2 linked regions of the Elephas maximus indicus genome follow. The main gene of each other region encodes a partner of the protein of the gene in region 2 in a complex. Links are inferred from orthologs where the notes say so. Each region holds a gene or a part of one and is shown on either strand. Other genes may lie near its edges.

The links.
Region 1: the proteins of RAD9A (region 2) and RHNO1 are in contact, whole or in part, in a crystal structure (PDB 8WU8), measured with the Homo sapiens proteins. The link is inferred for Elephas maximus indicus from reciprocal best matches to the Homo sapiens genes RAD9A and RHNO1. Residues at the interface, in NP_004575.1 of Homo sapiens: Val41, Ser44, Arg45, Ser46, Ala47, Tyr48, Glu130, Leu132, Gln133, Ala134, Val135, Glu165, Tyr181, Glu183, Thr216, Phe217, Cys218, Gly244, Pro246, Val261, Leu262, Ala263, Thr264, Leu265, Ser266; in NP_001239428.1 of Homo sapiens: Thr88, Lys90, Phe91, Pro92, His93, Leu94, Thr95, Phe96, Glu97, Ser98.

What each region holds. Positions count from the first base shown.
Region 1 is NC_064822.1:59,066,735-59,077,113, forward strand, and holds the start of RHNO1 (RAD9, HUS1, RAD1-interacting nuclear orphan protein 1), read left to right. Parts: upstream 1-6,377; 5' UTR 6,378-6,472; intron 6,473-9,539; exon of another isoform or gene 9,540-9,818; intron 9,819-10,379. Other genes in the region: FOXM1 (forkhead box protein M1), read right to left, coding at 1,020-1,211, 2,762-2,913, 3,471-3,972. UniProt on the Homo sapiens protein: Involved in microhomology-mediated end-joining (MMEJ) DNA repair by promoting recruitment of polymerase theta (POLQ) to DNA damage sites during mitosis.
Region 2 is NC_064825.1:130,420,958-130,431,798, forward strand, and holds the start of RAD9A (cell cycle checkpoint control protein RAD9A), read left to right. Parts: upstream 1-6,090; 5' UTR 6,091-6,192; coding exon 6,193-6,226; intron 6,227-6,297; coding exon 6,298-6,368; intron 6,369-6,374; exon of another isoform or gene 6,375-6,496; intron 6,497-7,185; coding exon 7,186-7,314; intron 7,315-7,629; coding exon 7,630-7,744; intron 7,745-7,829; coding exon 7,830-7,929; intron 7,930-9,247; coding exon 9,248-9,357; intron 9,358-9,462; coding exon 9,463-9,718; intron 9,719-9,805; coding exon 9,806-9,943; intron 9,944-10,682; coding exon 10,683-10,841. UniProt on the Homo sapiens protein: Component of the 9-1-1 cell-cycle checkpoint response complex that plays a major role in DNA repair. The 9-1-1 complex is recruited to DNA lesion upon damage by the RAD17-replication factor C (RFC) clamp loader complex.

The sequences.
Region 1 (10,379 bases), on a different chromosome or scaffold from region 2:
GAAACCAAGAAATTAAGTTGAGATTAACAGTAAAGTTGAGTTCTATTATCAGGGGAAAAAGCCCTTGGCTTGGAATCGAGAACCCATCAGAAGACCTAACTTGTTGTCTTCATTATCTAGTGCAACTACAACAGAAATACTACGAGTGGCTTTAACAAACATTTATTTTCTCACAGTTTAAGAGGCTAGAAGTTCTAATTCAGAGTGCCAGCTCTAGGGGAAGACTTTGTCTGTCAGCTCAGGAGGAACGTCCTTGTCTCTTCAGCTTCTGCTTCCTGGTTCCTTGGCGATCTCCATGTGTCTTGGCATCTATCTTACCCCATCTCTGCTTGCTTCTCTCTTGCTTGTTTAATATCTTTTATATCTCAAAAGAGATTGACTCAATAAACACCCAACACTAATGCTGTCTCATTAACATAACAAAGACAACCTATTCCCAAATGGGATTATAACCACTGGTGTAGGGGCTAGGATTTACCGCACATATTTTGGTGGGACACAATTCAATCCATAACCCTTGTGGTTCTGACATTGACCAACTGTGTGAGTTACAAGGATGCCCAGGCATCTCAGTCTTTCTGTGAATAAAATGAAGAAAACAATCCTGCCCACTAGAATGATATGTAACATTGTAGGAGATGAATCTTCAGTCAAAAGGCTCACAGGCAGTGGTTTTGTTGTTTTTCTTCATCAAGATTTTCTCATACAGCTACTAAGCCACTCTAGTTGCCAATACTTATGGCTGTTTTGATGCAGCATAAAAGTGGGCTTGGGGCTACACTGAAGAGTCTCTATAACCTTAGATAATGACAGATGAAGTGGCCGCAGAACTCTTATTGATGATTTTGCCTAGATTCAGTAGGATCAAGTCACAATCCAAAAGATACATCTATTTATAGGTCTAGTACCCTTTGCATTGAGCTGCTCCTTCAGAACACCAACAGAAACTGCTGTACAATACCAGAGACAAACTGTAGGGCCAAAGTCACATCAACTTTGGCTGTTAAGGGGCATATTACCTTCCAGCCTGGTTTGGCAATGTGCTTAAAGTAGGGGAAGTGGTCCTCGATCCAAGTATAGATGTCCTTCAAAGTCATGCGCTTCCTCTCAGTGCTGTTGATAGCGAATTGTATCATGGCCATGTAAGAGTAGGGTGGCCGCTCAGACATGGAGTCCTGCCAGGATGTTGATCCTCCAGGGGCCTTCTCAACCTGAGGGTTACGAGAAGCCAAAGGGAAGGAAAAAAGGGAATGACATGGAAGAGTTTGCAAGAAAGGCCCCCCCCGCCATAAACATCCCCTAGAGAAAATTTTTATCCATAGAATTGTACTAGATACATACTTATCTGAGACCACTATTCCATAGAAAAAAATTTGTAGGGTTAAGAACGATCTAGGGATGATCTAGTCCAGTCCACAGTCAATGTTTGAATCACTTCTCTGTCACCATTTTGTTGAAGACATATAAAACCAAACCCATTGCCATCAAGTCGTTTCTGACACACAGTGATGCTATAGGACAGAGTAGAACTGCCTCATAGGGTTTCCAAGGCTGTAGTCTTTATGGAAGCAGACTGCCACATCTTTCTCCTGCAGAGAGGCTGGTGGGTGTGAACCACTGACCTTTGGGTTAGTGGCTGAGCATTTAATCACTGTGCCACCAGAACTCCTTTGTTCAAAGTACTGCCCAGTTAATAAGCTGAGGTCCAATTACTTCTAGTTGAAACATCTCAGCAGAGTTTGGTTATATATTGTGATTCTCAAAGTATTGGCTTTATAGTAAAACCATACCTGTTTTTCAGATTTGGGGGTCAAGAGAACTAGGTCTTAGTCCAACTCCTCCTCCTGATGTGATGTGAATAAATTCATCTCATTTCAATGTTTGTATGAGAGAACCATTCCCAAAAGTACACTTTTGGCTAAGTGCTGGTTACTCCCATTTTTCTAAATTGACATATAATTATAAAGTACACAAATCTTAAGTGTACAGCTCAATTAAGTTTTATATATGTATACATTCATGTATATTTTCACTTTCAAAGGTTGTTGAATGAATGATTAAAGGATATATCCAACAGAATCTAGATGTGTGACACTGGCAACTGTGAAAAACAACCCAGACCATATGATTGGGTCAAATAAATCTTGATTGCTGGGATGTGTTCAAAACACATCTAATTCACTTTATTTGCTATTAATATTAAATCTTCTAATACAATTATCTTGTTAGAGATGCTGTATTCCTTTCATACTTTGGGGTGCCTCTCTAACATAAAAGTTGCTTCCCAAACTAAGTTTGTCATCGTTTCCTGAATACCTACTAAGGGCAGAGTACTATACTCAGTACTGATGGAAATATAGAGCGAGCCAGCCTGAGGAATTGGCTCTCAAGGAATTCTCACAGGTGGAAGAAAAAGATCCCAGGGAGAAAAGTAGCTCAAAACAGAGTAGCAATAAGCAAGCAAAAAAAATAACCAAGCCATTGCTGTTCCGTTGATTCTGATTCATAGTGACCCTATAGAACGGAGTAGAACTGCCCCACAGAGTTTCCAAAGAGCGCCTGGTGGATTTCAACTGCTGACCCTTTGATTAGCAGCCGTAGCTCTTAACTACTACGCCACCAGGGCTTCCAGAATAGCACTAAGTGGAGTATAAATACTAGAGCTTGGACATCCTGCTCCAGCAGGCCACTTGATCTAGTTCCCTTTTAGAAATTCCCCACAATGGCTAACTCCCCTACTGAGTGCCCTAGAGCGGTGCACCTTAACTTGACTCTGTTCCAGGTGATGATTCTCTTTTTCCTCCATTTCTTGCTTGATGCCGCAGGAGCCCAGTCCATCAGAACTCATCTTTCCAAGCCACTGGATATTGGTCAAGCTGTTGTCGAGAGTGCAGCCTGCTGCCTCACCGCCAGCTAGACAGAAAGCAATCCAAGACTCCACTTAGCTGCCTGACCAGACGCCTGGCAGGCCCATCAAAATTTGTGGTTAGGGACCACTACTCCAAGACCTCTACCCTTAGGGACAGGGAACACATGCTAAATCTAATGGGCCCTAAGTTACTCCACCTTATTAGGGATTTCAGGAGAAATTCAAGTTGCAATTCAATCAAGCTGCGTTGCACCTTAAAGATCAGGCAAGGCAACCTTACGGAAGAGTTATTTGAGTATTTGCACAAGGAAAGTAACTTTTTTTCCTTCTGCTTTAGTTTTCTACTTCCTTATAGGATCAATGGAAAGGAGAAATAGAAATAATAAGTTCTTTTCCAATATAAAGAAGGCAATAGAAATGCTAAATTATAATCACAATGCTTTCAATGGTGCCCAGAGGATATGGTCAAAGCTACTGGGTGAGGAAACTTGGTTCAGGCTGCACACCTGTCTGTTATAAGCATCAATACGACTGACTGCAGACCTTGCCACCAGAGAAGAAAGGCTGGGCTCCTCACCCCTTTGCCTTGCAGATCACATACCACAGCTCTCCCATCGCTGCCCCGGAAGGGCTCCAGGAGGTCTAGGAAGATTCACATCCCTAGCTGTAGGCTTTGGTCCCAGGGTTTCGGTTATCACTTCTGTCCTCTTTGAATCACAGCTGGCTTGGGTTACAGGCTGGGGTCCTGGAGGGTGAGTGGGGGCTCCCCCACAGCTGATGAGGATGAACTTGTTGGGCCCACTGCTGCCACTTTCTTTTCCTTTGGCGGTCAGTGCTGTGATGATGCTCTGGATATTGGCATTGTTGGGGATGGCCACCACTTGGGTGTTAGGCATGGTAGGGTGGTTAATAATCTTGATTCCAGCTGGAAACTTGCAAGAGCTAGACTCTGCCACCTCCTTGGAGGCCTGTGCTTGGCCAGGCTCCTGTTGGGCAGGGGACTGCTTAGGTTGCTCCTCTGATGTTTCACCTGGGGCATTTTGAACAGGAAGGGGCAGCCTCCGTCTTTTGAGAATCAGTGGCCGACGGGGGCTGGTTTTCATTATGAATCTGTGCTTTCACTCTCCATTGAGAATCACAAGCATGGACCCTGGAAAGTATAAGGAGGAGCAGGATATCAGAGATTTGTTAGGCTGAGAAGGAGCTTCTCTTAGAGAGGCATTCCTATTTTTATGGCCAGAAGTATGAGCCTAAGGGCCCAGGTAATGCTCCCTGACCTTTGTAGAGGCTTACCTCCAATACTAAGATGAAATCCACTGACTAAAGAAAGGTAAAACTGAAGCAAACAGAAGCAATTCAAAGGGGGAAAGTGGAACTGGATTGGATTTGGGTCAAGACAGCCAAAGACTTCCTGCTGGAAGCTTAAGAATGCTTGGCTACAGAAACAAGTGAGATAGCCACAAAATGTAGAAATTATAATACACATTACTTGCTATGACTGGAGGGACAGGGATGGGAGATGCTGGAATAGGAAGGCATATGGTGATATATAGTCCCAACAAAACTCTAATGCCATAATCCATTCTAGGATAGAGCCTTTATATTTTTATGTAATTCTACTCTGTAAAAAATAGGATCAGTGCCCACAGAATCAGGGGAGAGAGGCATATTGCACTATTGCCGTAGCACTGGAGAAATCATCTCCTAGTTCACAAGGGCTCAGATAAAAAGCTTGCAGGCAACCCTTGCTCTATTTAAGGGCCATGGTGAAGTTGTGCAGATTGTGCACTGCACAACTCTAGCGGGTGCCATTCATTTTACAGGCTACATTATCATTATCCTTGCATTAATAAGGGAACCCTGTGGCGTAGTGGTTAAGAGCTACAGATGCTAACCAAAAGGTCAGCAGTTTGAATTCACCAGGTGCTCCTTGGAAACTCTATGGGGCAGGGCAGTTCCACTCTGCTCTATAGGGTTGCTATGAGTTGGAAAAGACTCGATGGTAATGGGTTTGGTTTTTGGTTGCATTAATAAAAAGAGTATTTTTCTTTCAGTTTACAAAATACTTACGCAGTGACAGTATTAGTACTTGCATGTGCTTATCTTTATTTTAGATTTCTAAGCATGTTACTGTATTAATTTCTCTTCCAGAACAAAGAGGATAAACCTTATCTCCTGATTCCTAGAATGGACTATCACCAATATGCTAAGGGAGCTTTGTAATGCTGAGGAGGGTAGTTTTTCTCTTGGGGAGAAAAATTGTGCTTTGTTAATTTTTAATAGCTACATGAAATACTCTGCCAGTTTATGCAAAATTGTGTAATTCTATTTAGAGGTACTTTGAGAGACAGGGAAATTGGCTGTCTCTTTTAGGACATCTGCTATCTCCCGAAAAATGATTGACACATTTGTATGACATTTGCCATCTGCTTTTTTGGTGCCATCTGCTTAGAATTCACAGGCCTTTCCCACTTTGCCTCTTCCCCTTCCTATATATCTAGGTTTCCTTTACCTTCAAATCTCAGTTTTACTTCCACCTCATATCTCTCCTGGCCTCCTCCCCTCCTTCCTCCCATCAGCCAGTAGCTATTATCTTCCCCTTCCTCCAAAATATCTTCTTCCTGGTCTAAGTCTTAATTTTCTCTTCTACTCCCTGACAAGCCTCTTCCTAGTATTGCCAACAACACTTTCTAGCCTGACAAGCCTCTTCCTAGTATTGCCAACAACACTTTCTAGCCCGGTGACTTCCAGAGTAACCCCATCCTGACCAGGGAAACCTTGCTAGATTCTCAACAACCAGGAGAAGGGCCCTGTAAGAGTAGGGTGGAGGCAGTGTTGCCTAGTGGTGAGAGCGCCTGAGAGCAGGGGAGTGTGTGTGGGTTGATCTTTCACTTACTGGAGAATAAGCTCAGTCTTCAGTTCAGCCACGATTCACACTTGGTAGGCCACCTCAGCCCTCCTGATGCAGGGTACAGAGGTCACACTTCCAGTAAAAGCCAAGTGGTGCTTAGAGAAATAAGTGAGAAGGCCGAGACCAGAGGTTGGATGCAGAAAAAATTTGCACCCTTACTCAGACCTCCTTCCCCGTGTGGTCCCAAACCTCCACTCCTGTCCCGCACCCTATTGCTAGACTCCCTGACTTCCTCGCCCGGAGGACTTACGGAAGCGGTGCCAGAGACCTTGCTCCCTGCCTCTGCCCAGGCCCGGCCTCAGCCTCCATTCCTCTGCCCAGCTCACCTCCCGACTGCAGCCTCCGCCGCTGCTGGGGTGAGGCTCCTAGGGCGGACTCCGGGCTCCTCCAATCTGGGGGCCGAGCCAGGGTCCCGGATAGGGACTCGCGCCAGGCCGGCCAGGTCCCCGACGGTGCGGGAGGGGTGGGGAATCCCGGGGGATCCCGGGAGGGGAGGGGGTCCCGGGCCAGGGGCCGGGGGTGGGGTCCGGCACCGGAGCTTTCAGTTTGTTCCCCTGTTTGAAATTGGCGCCGGCGGAGCGTTGCGGTCACGTGACGGGGCGTCGCCAATCGGCGCCGGCCCTTGTCTCCGAGTTCCGGGCTCGAAGCCGTGGAGACCTGAGAGGAGACGCGGCCCTGACCCTGCCGGGCGGGTAAGAGAAGCCCGGGACCGGCCCGAAGGGAGAAGGCTCCTGTGGGCTCAGAGGGGGCGGTGGGAGCGGGAAGGAGCGAGAGGGGGGCCCTGCGGTTGGGGTGGGGGGAGCGGAGAGACTGTGAGGGGACGCGGGAAGATGGTGGTGACTGGGACACGGCCCCTCTCGGCCTGCTTCTGCCGCTTTCCCACCCTCCACGCTACCCCTCTCAGGATTTCCATACCCTCTTTAAAGGTCTGTTTTAACTGATATCCTAATGGGGGGAAATTGTAGTCCATTCACCTCCGATTACCGATCCTCTGGTACCCCCAACTAGACTGAGAGTTCTTCAAGGGTAGCACATAACCTTGTCCAAGTGTCTTGCATCTTAAAACACACAAATAAATTCTCCCTCAACTCTAAATCTTCAACTACTGACCTGTCTCCTGTTTGTCTCCACTGCCAGCCAAGCTTTTTGATATAATGGACTAAAGTGCTTTATTCACTTACTCAACAAATGTTTGCTGAGCACCTACTATGTGCCAGGCAGTGTGATAGGCCCTGGGAATACAATGGTAGACAGTTTTCTGTCTCATGGGCTTACCAGACTAACTGGGGAAAGGGGCTGGCATCACAAACATCATCAAATGTAGAATTATAGCTGTGAAGTGGTAGAGGTAAATGATACTTTGAGTATCTGTAATGAGGTCTTGAGTTATGTAGGTCAAGAAAGGGTTTTCTGATGAATTGAAGCTTGATGTGAGATCTGATGCCTTTGTGCAAAAAAGGGAGGGAAGCCCTCTAAGTAGAGGGAGAGAATGAAGTGTGCAAAGGCTGTGAGTGTGAAGGACACATGGTGAGTATGAAGTCGGAAAAATATCTGTAATCTAAGGAGTTCGTAGGATTGCTACGAGTTGGAATTGACTCAGTGGCAATGGGTTTGTTTGTTTGTTTAAGAAGTTCGAGCTAACAGACCTGAGTGAAGCGTGGTGTGAGATGAAGCTGGAGCAAGAGAAAGCAGAGCCTAGCCATACTGAGTTGTGTCCTTATCCAAAAACTCAAGAAAGCCAATCAAGTTTTAAGCATCAGTGAGTCATGGTCAAACTTCCATTTTTTAAATTGCACATTTTTAAGTGGATTAGGATAGACCAGTTAGGCTGTCGTGATACTCCATGGGAGAACTGGTTGGAGCTTGAAGAAGGGGGGAAGGGGTGAAGACAGGGGGAGAAAGAGACGATTATTGAAGACAAATTTAAGAGGTAAAATTGACAGGACTTGGTGCTGGGTTGGATGAAGGAGGCGGGGAGAGGGAAGTGGCAGGTTTCTGGCTGCATAACTGGATGAAGCATGTACTATTTGCTGAGACAGGGCCCTGGAGGTGGGAGGTGATGATGAGTTCAGTTTTAAACATGTTGAGTTTCAGGTACATTTGAGGCACCTAGTTGCTGTCAAGTAGACAATGGGTATATGGGTCCTGAGCTTAGAGAATTCTAAACTGAATGTGTACAGTAGGCAGAAATTAAAATATGAGCGAGTGAGATTGCACAAGAAAAGTGTATGAGTGAGAAGGGTGCCAAAGCATAGGTGGAGGGAAAGGCCTTAGACTGCAGAAGGGACTGACAGCACCTCTACAGCTGAGAGAAAGAGGATGGATGCAGCTATGCATAGGTTTGTGTGGTTGATTTCTAGAAAATGAGAGTATTTCCTTTGGTGGCTTCTGTATTCTTTGTGAAGTAGGACGTAAGGTCATCTGTTGAGAGAAGAGGAGTTCAGAAGTCTTAGCAAGTGGAAAAAACTTAAGATAATCTTTGTGGAGAGTTGATCAGGGAATCATAGTAGGATTGCTGGGCAAGGCAGTAGGCCCATTTGATGGTGAATTTCAGCAAGTCATTAATTTCAAACCTTTAACCTTGGCCATTGCTACCATTATCTCTGTCTCCATTGGACTCCTGCAGTAGCCTAACTGGACTCCCTGCTTCCTTTCTCCACCCCTCTCTTCCCAACCAGGCTTTCCTCGCAAAGTACCTGGAGTTATCTTTTGACACTCTGAATCAGCTTATGTCACTTCCTGTCCAGGGCCTTTCAGTGACTTCCTATCACACTAAGAATAAAATCTAATCCTAGCCTACAAAGCCCTGTGTCACATGAACTGGTTCCTGCCTTTCTACTACCTCATCTTTTAACTACTCTTGAGTTCAGTGACCCTGACCTTACTGTTTCTTGAACAGGTCAGAAATAGTCCCACTTCAGGGTCTTTGCATTTACTATTCTCTCAGAGTTCAGCATTCTTCATTCATATCTTTCCATTGCTTGCTTGTTCTTTTTTCATTCAGGACTTTGTTCAAATGCTACCTCTTCAGATAGGCCTTCCCTGACAACCTGATCTAAAATAGCACTCAGTCAGCTCAACCCCTTATCCTGTTTGATTTTTCTCCTACTGCTTATCACTTTCCACTGAAAAAATCAAACAGAATGAAGAGTTGAGTTAACTGATTGCTCTCAGATTTAAAGCACCATGTGGGCAGGGATTTTATACTGTTCTCTGGTATATATTTCCAGTACCTGGAACAGTGCCTGGCATATAGTAGGCATTCGTAAGTGTTTGTTGAATGAATGAATGAACAAATGGATGTGTTCATTATTTGTGCTCTCCCTGAAATGTTAGTTCCTTGAGGGTAGGTGGGGACTTTGTCCTTTTTTTCTCCTTCTTCCCCTGATTCTCTACTGCCTAGTGATATAAATCAGATCATGTTAATTTTCTGACTCATGAATGTATAGTGGAAACAATCTGCTCTGTTGTGTGACTTTTTATTACTTTCTGGTCCTGTTGGCCTTATCTGTCTCCAGCCTCCCACCTCTACTGACAGAGCTCAGGTTCATATCCTCATCACTTCTCTCCTGGATGACACAGTAACCTCCTAACTGATCCCCTTATCTCCAGAGTACTCTTCCTCTCTGTCAACTTGGTTAGGCCATGATTCCCAGTATTATGTGGTTGTCCTCCATTTTGTGATTATAATTTTATGTTGAGAGGATTAGGGTGAGATTTGTAACACCACCCTTACTCAGGTCACCTTCCTGATCCAAGGTAAAGGGAGTTTCCCTGGGGTGTGGCCTGCACCACCGTTTATCTCTCAAGAGATGAAAGGAAAGGGAAGCAAGCAGAGAGTTGGGGACCTCATACCACCAAGAAAGCAGCACCAGGAGCAGAGCACATCCATTGGATCTGGGATCCCTGCACCGGAGAAGCTCCTCGACCATGGGAAGATTGAAGACAAGGACCTTCTTCCAGAGCCCACAGAGAAAGAAAGAGAAAGCCTTTCCCTGGAGCTGATACCTTGAATTTGGACTGTTAGCCTACTATACTGTGAGGAAATAAATTTCTCTTTGTTAAAGCCATCCCCTTGTGGTATTTCTGTTATGGCAGTACTAGGTGACTAAGATACTCTCCTTTCATATTGTAGCCAGGATGATCTGTCTAAAAGACAAAAACAAACAAAAAACACAAATATGGCATTTTTAAGACAATTGAAAATTTGAAAACTGGCTATTTGATGATATTAAGGAATTTATATATATATTTTAATTACATTTATGGGAACGATAGGATGACTGGGAATATTGTATTTGCCTCAAAATAATGAAGGGGTGGAGAAAATGGATAGGAGTGTGGATGGGTCAGGACTGGTCATGCGTTGATGGATTTTGGAGCTGGCTGATGGTACGTGGGGGCTCATTATATTATTCAGTTTACTTTTGTGTATGTTTAAAACTATTTGGGGTAAAAAGTTAAATTAGAAAAAAAAAAGCCACATGTAATCATACCGTTCTGCTTGAAAATTTTCAATGACTTCTCAGGCTAAAGTCCAAGCTCATATAGCACAATTTATTTTTCTGATCTCTGACTCCATGTCTAGCTTCAATTCTT
Region 2 (10,841 bases):
CTATTACCCACAATTTACAGACGAGGAGACTCAGGCTCAGAGAACATACTCAGCGTCTCCAGTTTTCATACAACTTTTAAGTGATGGAGGCAGAATTCTGACCCAGGCAGGCTGGGCCGAGGGCCCCTTGCCATCTTATCAGATAATCCTGGGTTCAAATCTGCTAGCCTCTCTGAGTCCCATTTTCCTCAGTCATTCAACACATATTTATTAAAGCATTACTATGGCCAAGCACAATGGGCTCAAACATAGCAATGATTGTGAGGATGGTGCAGGACTGGGCAGTGTTTCATTCTATTGTACATGGGGTCGCTATGAGTCAGAACTGACTCGATGGCACTGGCACCTAACAACGCCAATAACAACAATGGCCAAGCCTTGTTCTGGTCGTGGGGATAAACGCTGGGGAACAAGAAAGATGTGGGCAGAGCTTGCCAATAGGAAGCCAGCGGCACCCCCATGTGCCACAAAGGCAACACAAGGGGTCAGCGAGTGCCCCCCAGCAAGTACCATTTCCTGTGCGTGCAGTGTCTTGGGAAGGCAGGGAGGTGCTGCCTTAGGGACCAGATCAGGACAAACCAGAGTGATCTCCCAAACCCCAGACTCCTCTACTCTTCTGCTTTTCAGTTACTCCAACTTGGCAAAACCCCAGCTGTGAGTAATCCCACCTCTGCTCTAGTATCTACAGGGAGGGCAGCAGAGGGTGCCCAGGCAGGACAGATGGTACCTGCTGAATTATCCTCACCGCCACCAATGGCTCCTCAGTGCATACGCTCTCCTCGCCAACAAACTCTCCATGCCACACCTCCCTTGGCTGGCTCCCTCCTCCAGGAAGCCATCCCCAATGCCAAGACCAGGTCTGTCTACCTAATGACAAGCTCTCATAGCCCAGGCCTTCGTTGTTCCTGGTCCTTCTCAAAGATGTAATTTTATATTTACCTTGGTGATTCTTTGACTAATGTGTTTCCTCACTAGATTGTACCCCCTGAGCTCAGGAGCCTCAATTCTTTTTTTTCTTTTTTTGCGCCCTCCCCATTTTACCAGAAGGGCCTAGCATGGCACCTGCCACCAGGGGTACGGGTCCTTACGCAGCCAGGCCAGCTCTCTGCACAGCCTTGGCGTCAGCTGTTCCCTGTGCTGGAATGCGCTTGCCCAAGAGCCTGCGGGGCTCACTCCCTGCCTTCCTTTCTTCCTTCCTTCCGGCCTTTGCTCAAATGGGGACTTCTCAGTAAGCATCTGGCTGCAGCCCTCTCTCTCCACACTCCTGTCTCCCTCCCTCCCAGCCATGTTTTGCCCTATACCATTTATCACCTTCTAACATACATTTTCTATCCCTCATGTGCATGTGAAAGCTGGACAGTGAGTAAGGAAGACCGAAGAAGAATTAAAACCTTTGAATTGTGGTGTTGGCAAAGAATGTTGAGTGTACCATGGACTGCCAGAAGACCGAACAAATCTGTCTTGGAAGAAGTACAGCCAGAATGTTCGTTAGAAACAAGGATGGCAAAACTTCATCTCGCATATTTTAGACCTGTTATCAGGAAGATTGGTCCCTGGAGAAGGACGTCATGCTTGGTAAAGCAGAGGGTCAGCGAAGAAAAGGAAGACCCTCAACAAGAAGGGCTGACAGTGGTTGCAACAATGGGCTCAAGCATAACAACAATTGGGAGCGTGGTGCAGGACCAGGTAGTGCTTTGTTTTGTTGTCACTGTGAGTCAGAACCAACTCGAGGGCACCTAACAACAACAACAACAACATACATTTATTTGTGTCTTTGGTTGTCTTTCTTTCTCCACTCAGTAGAAGCCACTTGAGAGCAGGATTTTCTATTCTGTACTCTATTTCCTGTGCTTAGAAAAGTGCACGAAACACGCATGGAATGAATGAATTACTGAGTTCCAACGTCCCCATCGGGAACACTGGTGGCATAGTGGTTAAGGGCTACGGCTGCTAACCAAAAGGTCGGCAGTTCAAATCCACCAGGCATTCCTTGGAAACTCTATGGGGCAGTTTCTACTCTATCCAATAGGGTCTCTATGAGTCAGAATCGACTCGACGGCAGTGGGGTTTGTTGTTGTTAACATCCCCAGCAGTGGTGATTGCTGTGACTTCAAACCTAACTAGTTGGGCGGTGGCTTTAAGAAGTGGTGGTTGAAGGGAAGAAATTTCCCAACAGATAATTACTTTAAAAGCTTGAAATAGTAACTACTGTCACCTTCCTCCATTAGTGTCTACCACGGCTCCCCCCTCCCACTTACCTACTGATAGGTGGCCACCTCTAACGTAGGGGTGGCAAAGAGTATACAAACTTTGGGTTTTAAAGAGTCCTAAGAGAGCATCTCATGCAGCCCTTCATTTTGAGGAAACTGAGGCCCAGAGTAGGGCTGGAGCTCCCACCCACAGGCTTCCCGTCTTCCAGTGCAGACCCGACATCCACTTTGGGTCCCTATACCCGTCCCCTGCCCAGCCCTCCCCTTGCTCTCAAAGGGGCCCTGGTCGCTCCATGTCTCTCATCCCTCTCTGTGCCCTCCTCCCTCTGGACCTGCAATGCTTCATTGCCTCTGGCAAGTGCAAGCCTAGAGAGGCTCCGTAGCCTTCCAGCACGGGAGAGGACTGTTCCACATTCCCCCCTTTTGATCAGGATCCAGCTGTTGAGTCCTTGATCAAAATGTTCAGTAACGGTAGCCAGGCACCATTCACTTCTCCTGGTCTCATGGTAACAGAGGTAGTAGTTGATGGAGACAGTTAAACCTGCAGTCCATTTCCTTTTCCTATTCCTGAATCTCCTTTCTTTTCTGTTGTTTCAGGCAAATAGGGACCGATTGTGGTATTCTGGGTGGCTGCTTACAAGCTTTTAAGACCCTAGGTGCTACTCACCAAATTAGGAGGTGGAACAGAAACTCTGAAAACAATGTTAGGCCAATTGACTGGATGGACCCACAAAGCCACCACCCGAAACTTTTGAACCAAGAGAATTAATGAAGTTTTTCATTGTACCTAAGTAGTATCAACAGGAAGGAACCCTCAGCAAGGTTAAGCACTTGGCTGCTAACCGAAACGTCAGCAGTTTGAACCCACCAGCTGCTCCGTGTGAGAAAGATGTGTAGCCCGCTTCTGTAAAGATTTACACCCTTGGAAACCCTATGGGGCAGTTCCACTCTGTCCTACAGGATTGTTAAGTCAGAACCAAGTCTATGGCAGTGGATAGCATCAACAGGCACAGCTCCCCTCCCCCGTTTTGTTTTGGCTGCTGTTGTAGTTATAAATTATATAAAATGCTTTATTTGCCATTTTGCCCCCCCCCCTTCTTTTCCTGTTGTGCAGCTTAATGGTAATAGCTACATTAGTTTGGTGAGACTAGCCAATGGCAGCTCCTCTCCAGTGCTGTGGACAGATGAGGGGCACAGGGAACCTCAGTGTGTCAGGGTTGGAAGGGTCTCCGAGGGCATCTCACCCCGCATCAAACACATCATAAACCTGATGCTGTGGATTCCGACTCACAGTGACCCTCCACGACAGAGTAGAACTGCCCCATAGGGTTTCCGAGGCTGCAGTCTTTACAGAAGCAGACTGCCACATCCTTCTCCCTGGAGAGGCTGTGGGTCTGAACTGCTGACCTTTTGGTTAGTAGCCCAGTGCTTAACCGTTGTGCCAGCAGCGCTCCGTCATCACCTTGACTAGACGAGGGAACAGCTCCAGAGACGGGGAAGGACTTGCACAAAGTCACACAGCAAATCAGCGCTGAAGCCCAGACAGAGACCCAGCCTCCTGGTGCCTAGCTCCATGTCCTTGAGAGCTTTCCAGTGATTCCTGACTTTGGGGGGAGGGTGAATGAAGACTCATTAAAGAGTCCTACAGAGAAGGTAATCAATGCCACTAGATTGTAAATGGAGAAATTGTTGGTGTGTTCAACAACAAAAATTAATTATTTAAAAAAACAGCCCTAGAGAGCTTGTGTTTCTCTCTCCCTTGGGCCTTGATGCAAAACCCCAAGGCCACAGGGCCCTACAGACCCACAGGGGTCAGGGAAATTAACCTGACCATGGGAATATCCACAGCTGTCCCCTCTTTGGCCTTCCAGACAGGAGCACTGGGATGCTCTCCTACTCCAGGTAATAGGTCTTCAGTGGTAACAGGGTGGAGGTGGAGAAGCCCTGAGGCTGTGCCGATTTACCTTAGGGGTGGGGGGAGGGGGTGGTAAGAAAGAGAATAGCTGGTGCTGGGTTTTGTTTTGTTGCTAGAGAGTGGAGATGGGAAGAGAAGAATTAGGCAGGTCAGGTTGGCCTGCTGCTTTTACCCTAGCACCATGCTAAGGGCAACTCACAGGCAGCGCCATTTTATCTGGATGGCATATTCACTAACACCTATTTCCTGACCATCCACTGAGGCCCTGTGTGAGAGACAGGGCAACAGCAATGAACAAAACCGACAAGGTCCCTGCCCTTGTGGAGCTCATGTACTAGTGAGGAAGACAGACGTTAAATAAGTAAACACATGTACAAGACTTGTGATAACTGCTATGACCAAAACACACGTGCAAAGATCCCGAGGGGAAAAGGATGTGGCCCTTTCAGAGAACCAACAGGGCCTGTGGGGCAAGGCAGGGTGACTGAGAGAAAGGCAGGAGATAGGTGGAGAGATGCTGGGCCGGCTCCTACAGGCTGGGTAAGGATTTGGGATCTTACGCTAAGTATAGTAGTTGGCAACCACTGCAGGATCTAAACAGGGAGTGGCATGATTCCATGGACATTTTAGAAAGGTCACTTTAACTGCTGTATGGAGGGTGGATGGGGGCGGGGGACAGTGTGGAGGCAGAAGACCACTCAGCTGTTAACAGCCATCCAGGGAGAGTGGATGGTGGCCCAAACCAGGACGGTGGCAGCAGGGACAGAACCGGGGCAGGGGAGGGGGGCAAATTTGCCATCTGATTGGGAGCTAGGACTGTCAAGACTTGCTGCAGGATTGGCGCATCTGGGAAGAGGGTGGTGTCCACAGGGACTCCGTTTACTGGCCTGTATGCCCAGGTGGAGGTAGTGTCATTGACACTGATCCCCGGGAAGGAGAAAGGGAATTACAATCTCCTGCCCCGTTGCTCTAGGGAGGGGGTGAGGGCTGGTGAGGCAGGGGAGCTGAGGGCAAGGAGAGCGGGTGCAGAAGTGCAGCGCCAGGAGACAAAAGAGCCGCGTCCCTACAGACAGGGCCAAGGGGGGCAAGCACTGGCTGACCCTAAAGGGAAGCAGAAGACCCTTCGAACGGCCAAACTTCGGTGCTGCCGGGAGCTAGAGGTCAGGGCTCCCACCCTGGCCTGCCTTCCACTCCATACACGTGGGACTGAGGTGCAGGGCAAGGGGAGGACCTCCGGCTGATGAACGCCTCCTTTCGCACAATGCTGGGTTTTAAAAAAATAGTCTCAAAACCACGACTCTACCCTCGTCAACCTTTTCCTGTGTTTCCCAGCAGCGGCCTCATCGTCTGGTGGCGCCCCTTCCCTCTCCCCGGTGCCAATCCCCACGCGCTTCGCTCTTGCTCTTCTACCCCTTTGTCAGGAGAATCTTTTCTCTTCCTGAATCAATGAGGTGCCACCCCTTGAAACCAGAATGAGCAGCCACCGCCCACCCCTGGCTCCTGCAGCGCGTCGCGTTAACATCTTTTGAGAGGTGGTGGTTGCTGCGTGTGTCCGAGTCCTCAGCCCATACTGGGTGCGGACGGTCTGCTTTCCACCCAGTATCCCCAGACACGCCCGAAAGTCTGTACTAAATAAGGGCCCCGGCGGGCTCGTCCCCGGGCTCTGGCCTGCGAGCCCGGGGCTCGCTCCACTGCGCCATGCACCTCCCGCCCTGGAGCAGTGTCCCCGCGCTCGTGCGCCCCGCCAAGTGGCCTAGCACCCAACGGCACGGAGGGGCCGGGAGGGCTACAAGGAGCGAGCACCGCAAGCGCCGCCGCGCTCCGGCCCACGTGATAGGGGCCTGCGCCTGAGAACGGCTGCGTCACGTGACGGAGGGGCCGGGAGCGTTTCTCACGTGACGGCGGCGCGCGCTCGCAGGCCAATGAGGCAGCGGGGGCGGGGCCGGCGGGGCGGCGGCTGGAAGGGCGCCCAGGCTTCCGTGGAGGCGGGGGGGCCCCGAGCCGGGCCGGTTGCGGGGGCTCCGCGGGTGGGTTTGCAGGATCAGCCCGGTGCGGTACTGGGGCAGCATGAAGTGTCTGGTGACAGGCGGCAACGTAAAGGGTGAGTCTGGGCGGCGGGGACACGTAGGACAGGCCAAGACACCTACCTAACCCTTCTCTGCTCTCCTGCAGTGCTTGGCAAGGCGGTCCACTCCCTGTCCCGCATCGGAGACGAGCTCTACCTGGAGCCCCTGGAGGACGGGGTGAGGGGCTGGGGCGTGGGGAGGATCCCGCCTCCCCGGGCACGGTGGCCGCGGGTGGGCTTGTCAGCTCTTTCAGTTTCGGCCCCATTGCTGGAGCTCGTCTTGGGCCCTGTCAACCTCCCAGCCTGGTGTGTGAGCGGAGAGCAGCTGCCCTCCCTGGAGTGGCCGGTGACGGGTTGGGGGCGACTTAGCCTTAGAGATAAGCAGGGAGAAAGGCAGAGTGTGGGGACAGCGCTGAAGGTGGGAGCAGGGTCGAGAAAGGGTCAGGGAAGGCTTCCCAAGGAAGGACCCATTGAGACTGTCCTTGAAGGAGAGGGAAGATCTAACAGGTGATGGTGGAGGTGGTAGGTTCCTGGGTGGTGCAAATGGTTTGCGCTTGAGGAGCCCTGGTGGTGCAATGCGTAAGAGCTGGGCTGCTAACTGAAAGGTTGGAAGTTCCAATCCACCAGCAGCTCCTTGGAAACCCTATATGGGGCAGTTCTGCTCTGTGAGTCAGAATCAACTCGATGGCACATAACAACATCACAACAACAATTAATCTAAAGGTTGGCAGTTCAGACCCACCCAGTGGTACCAAGGAAGAAAGGCCTGGCAATCTCCCTCTGTAAAGGTTACAGCCAAGAAAACACTGTAACATATGGGGTTGCCATGAGTTGGCATTGACTCCACAGCAGTAGGTTTGGTTGGTTTGGCGGCGGGGGTGGTGGTGGTGGAGGACATCAGGGCAGTTCTGTAAGCAGAGGCAGGCCATGGGGCCAGCCTGTCACTGCCCCTGACCTTGTCCCCCGTCCCCCTCACCCTGCTTCACCTGGCCCAGCTCTCCCTCCGGACGGTGAACTCTTCCCGCTCTGCCTATGCCTGCTTCCTCTTCGCCCCGCTCTTCTTCCAGCAGTACCAGGCAGCCACCCAAGCCCAGGAACCCGTGCGCTGTAAGATCCTGATGAAGGTGAGGCCCCCTCTTGGTAGGAACCCCCACCTGCAGGGCCTCCACTCTGGGCACTCAGTAGCTGCTAACGGGGTAGAGAAAGGGGCTCAGTAAAGACCTTCTCGGAGAGTAGTGGGGGCATATGGAACAGCAGCAGACTGATGGGGAATCCAAGTGAGCCTGCAGGGTGGGGCCACTCCAGACAGGGCGAACAGCCAGAACCAAGGCCTGGACGCGTGTGAACATACGCACATTGTGGCGGTCCCTGTCCTGGCTGATGGGCTGGGCTGGGGCTCACAAGCTGGAGGCATAGCGCTGGCTTACGTTTCCCCTTAGTCGTTCCTGTCAGTCTTTCGCTCGCTGGCATTGCTGGAGAAGACAGTGGAGAAGTGCTACATCTCCCTGAATGGCAGGAGCAGCCGCCTAGTGGTCCAGCTGCACTGCAAGTATGGTGAGTGGGCAGTGCCGACTCGGGGGCCCTGGGGTGTGGCATGGGGGGTTGAGAAGCCCCCCTGAGACCCTGTCTGCCCACACAGGGGTGAGGAAGATTCACAACCTGTCCTTCCAGGACTGCGAGTCCCTACAGGCCGTCTTCGACCCAGCTTCATGCCCCCATGTGCTCCGTGCCCCGGCCAAGTGAGCACACCCCCTCCCCCTCACCTCGAGCACAGTCCCCCATCTGGATTCTTTGAGAGGCACCTTCTCCATTTCCGTAAAGGGTTTCTGTGGATCCCAGCCCTGTGTGCTCTCCAGCCCTTGTCTGACTCTTCGAAGGTAGGGGCTGAGCAAAGGGGGTGCATGGGTGTCCCTTCCTCCATTTCCTTACTATTTCTACACCCCTGTGTTTTCCACACCTCAGGCCTGACTTGGCTCTCTGGGAGCCTCAGACCTAGCCTGATGTCTCTTCTAGCAGTCACTTTCTCTAGCCTGAGCAGCTGAAGGGCCATCCCTAACCTTGGTGGCTCAGGGTTTCAGCTCCCTGCAGGGCCCAGTCGTACTTTGGGGGTCTTCCCCCTTTCAGCGTGGGCACTGACTATCGCCTGCCCTGGCGCTGGCTCGTGGAGTCCCCAGGCCCAGGCAGAAGGCCAGACGGGGAGGTTGTGGTCCAGGAGAGTGGAGTATTCTGGGCACTGCAGGGTGAGGGAGGTGGGGATGCCAGGGAAGGCAGGGGTCCCTGACAAGTACCACCTCAGAGAGGAGTGGCCCCTGGGCACTGCTTGCATCCAAGTGGCCGAGTTCCCATTCATTCTCTTGGTAGCCTTAGGACATGGTTGTGTGAGGTTCCCTTTGGGTCTGAGAGTCTGTTTCCCTGAGTTCTGTCGAGAGAGCTCCGCTCAGGGCTCCTTTGGATAGAGAAAGGGGGAAGGCCGTCCCTTTTGGTCTGAGTTTTGTGACAATTTAAATCACTCCTTTTAATGAACATTTGTCTTATGGACAGTCTGAAACACGTAAAAAAGTAGAACATAGTATGCTGACTCCTTGTACCATCACCCCCAGCTTGTGTCCCGTTGTTCTGAGGCGGACTCCAGGTGTTATTTCATTTATCACACGTATTGGTCAAAGACAAGAAGTTAGGGAGGGGCTCTTTCTGAAGGCCGGTTGGTTGGGACGGTATGGGTGTGGCTTCCCACCTCCGGACCCCATTCTTCCTTCCCCGCGGGAGAGCCCTCTCCCATCCTGTATGCTGGTGCTGCCCGCCCTGTGTGGGCCTTTGTCTGTCCCGCCGCCCCCCACCCCCCCGACCCCGTCCTGCTTTCAGTGGACTTGGGCTGTGGCAGGGAAGGACCAGGCCTGCTCATCCTGCCCTCTCCTTCCCAGGGTGCTGGCCTGGCCCAGGTGTAGTTCTCCTTAGATGCCAGTGTGTGTGTGTAGCCCCCCGTCCTCTAGTCCTCTGAGAGCAAGGCTGCCGGGCAGGGCTGGCCTGGCCTGGGGATAACACTGCCTGTCCTCACAGGGTCCTGGGGGAGGCTGTTCTGCCATTCCCCCCTGCGCTGGCTGAAGTGACGCTGGGTGTTAGCCATGGCCGCAGGGTCATCCTGCGAAGCTACCAGGAGGAGGAGGCAGGTAAGGGAGCCAGTCTGGGAGGGACACATCCTGGGCTGGGAGCAGAGCTGGGCAGGCAAGGGCAGGGGCCGGGACCCAGGTTCCTCCTGTTCCTTCCCACCCCAGACAGCACTGTCAGAGCCATGGTGACAGAAATGAGCATCGCGGAGGAAGACTTCCAGCAGCTGCAGGCCCAGGAAGGGGTGGCCGTCACTTTCTGCCTCAAGGAATTCCGGGTAGGTGTCCCCGATGCACGCGTTGTCCCGACCTCCCTGCCCAGCCCAGCACAGGGCCTGACCCTCCTTCTTCCCTCCCAGGGGCTTCTGAGCTTTGCTGAGTCAGCAAATCTGTCTCTCAGTATTCACTTTGACACTCCGGGCAGGTAGGTCCTACGTCTGGACAGGGGACAGGGGACAGGGGATGTCGGGCCTACAGGTTCTGACTGTCCTTGGGCTGGTCCCCTGCCCAGGCCAGCCATCTTCACTATCGAGGACTCCCTGCTTGACGGCCACTTTGTCTTGGCCACGCTGTCAGAGCCAGACCTGCAGTCCCAGGACCTGAGCTCCCAGCAGGCCCGCCAGCCAGAGCCTCCACTCCAGGCTCACAGGTGAGGGCTCCGCTACGCTTGCCTTCTTCTCCCCTGCGCTGTGCACCCTGGCCTGGCCGAGCCTTGTTGCCAGCCCTGCTCCTCCCCCACACATACTTCCTGTCAGGCCCCACGGAGCTCCTAGCTTCCAGCCCTGCAGACTCATCATGGTCAGCTGTGCTCAGAGACCCCTCCCACCCAGGGACCGTCCCCAAGGCCCAGCTGCTTCCTTCTTTGGCTGAGGCCTCCCGGTGAACCTCCTCCCAGGCCGAGGAGGGAGCTGGCTGCTGGGAGGCAGGGCGCCGCCCGGGGTGGAGAGGCAGGTGGCTGGACTGGCAGGTGGGCTGGGAGGCTGGGCCCAGTGCAGCAAAAGCAGAGGAAGTCTGGCCTGGCCGCCCGCCCAGCATGTCCACTGGGCCCCAGCGAGCTCCAGCTCTGTCCCCTGGGAAAGGGGTAGGGGCGGGCTCTGGCCCCAGGTGGCCTAGCTAGCAAGGCTTGCTGTTCCCCTCCCCCAGCTAGGCCAGACCAGCCCCAGACCACCTCTCCCCAGACCCCTACCTAAACTCTGATCAAACAGATTCCAGGCCTACTCCCTCCAGGAAGCCACCACTTAACCCCCGTTTCCTCTCCCCTCCAAATGAATCAGGAAGTCATAAAACCAAAAGAGGTCCCAGCCCACAGCCCCTTCGGAGCCTCAAGGTGGGGCCCTGCCTCTGTAGTTCTTCTCTGCTTCTTCGTAATGCCCCATCTCTGCCTATAGCACGCCCAACCTGGACGACTTCACCAACGATGACATTGACTCTTACATGATCGCCATGGAAACCACCCTGGCCAGTGAGGGCTCTCGGGCACTGCCCTCCTTCTCCATCTCACCAGGCCCCCAGCCCCCCTGTAGCCCTGGCCCAAACTCAGAGGACGA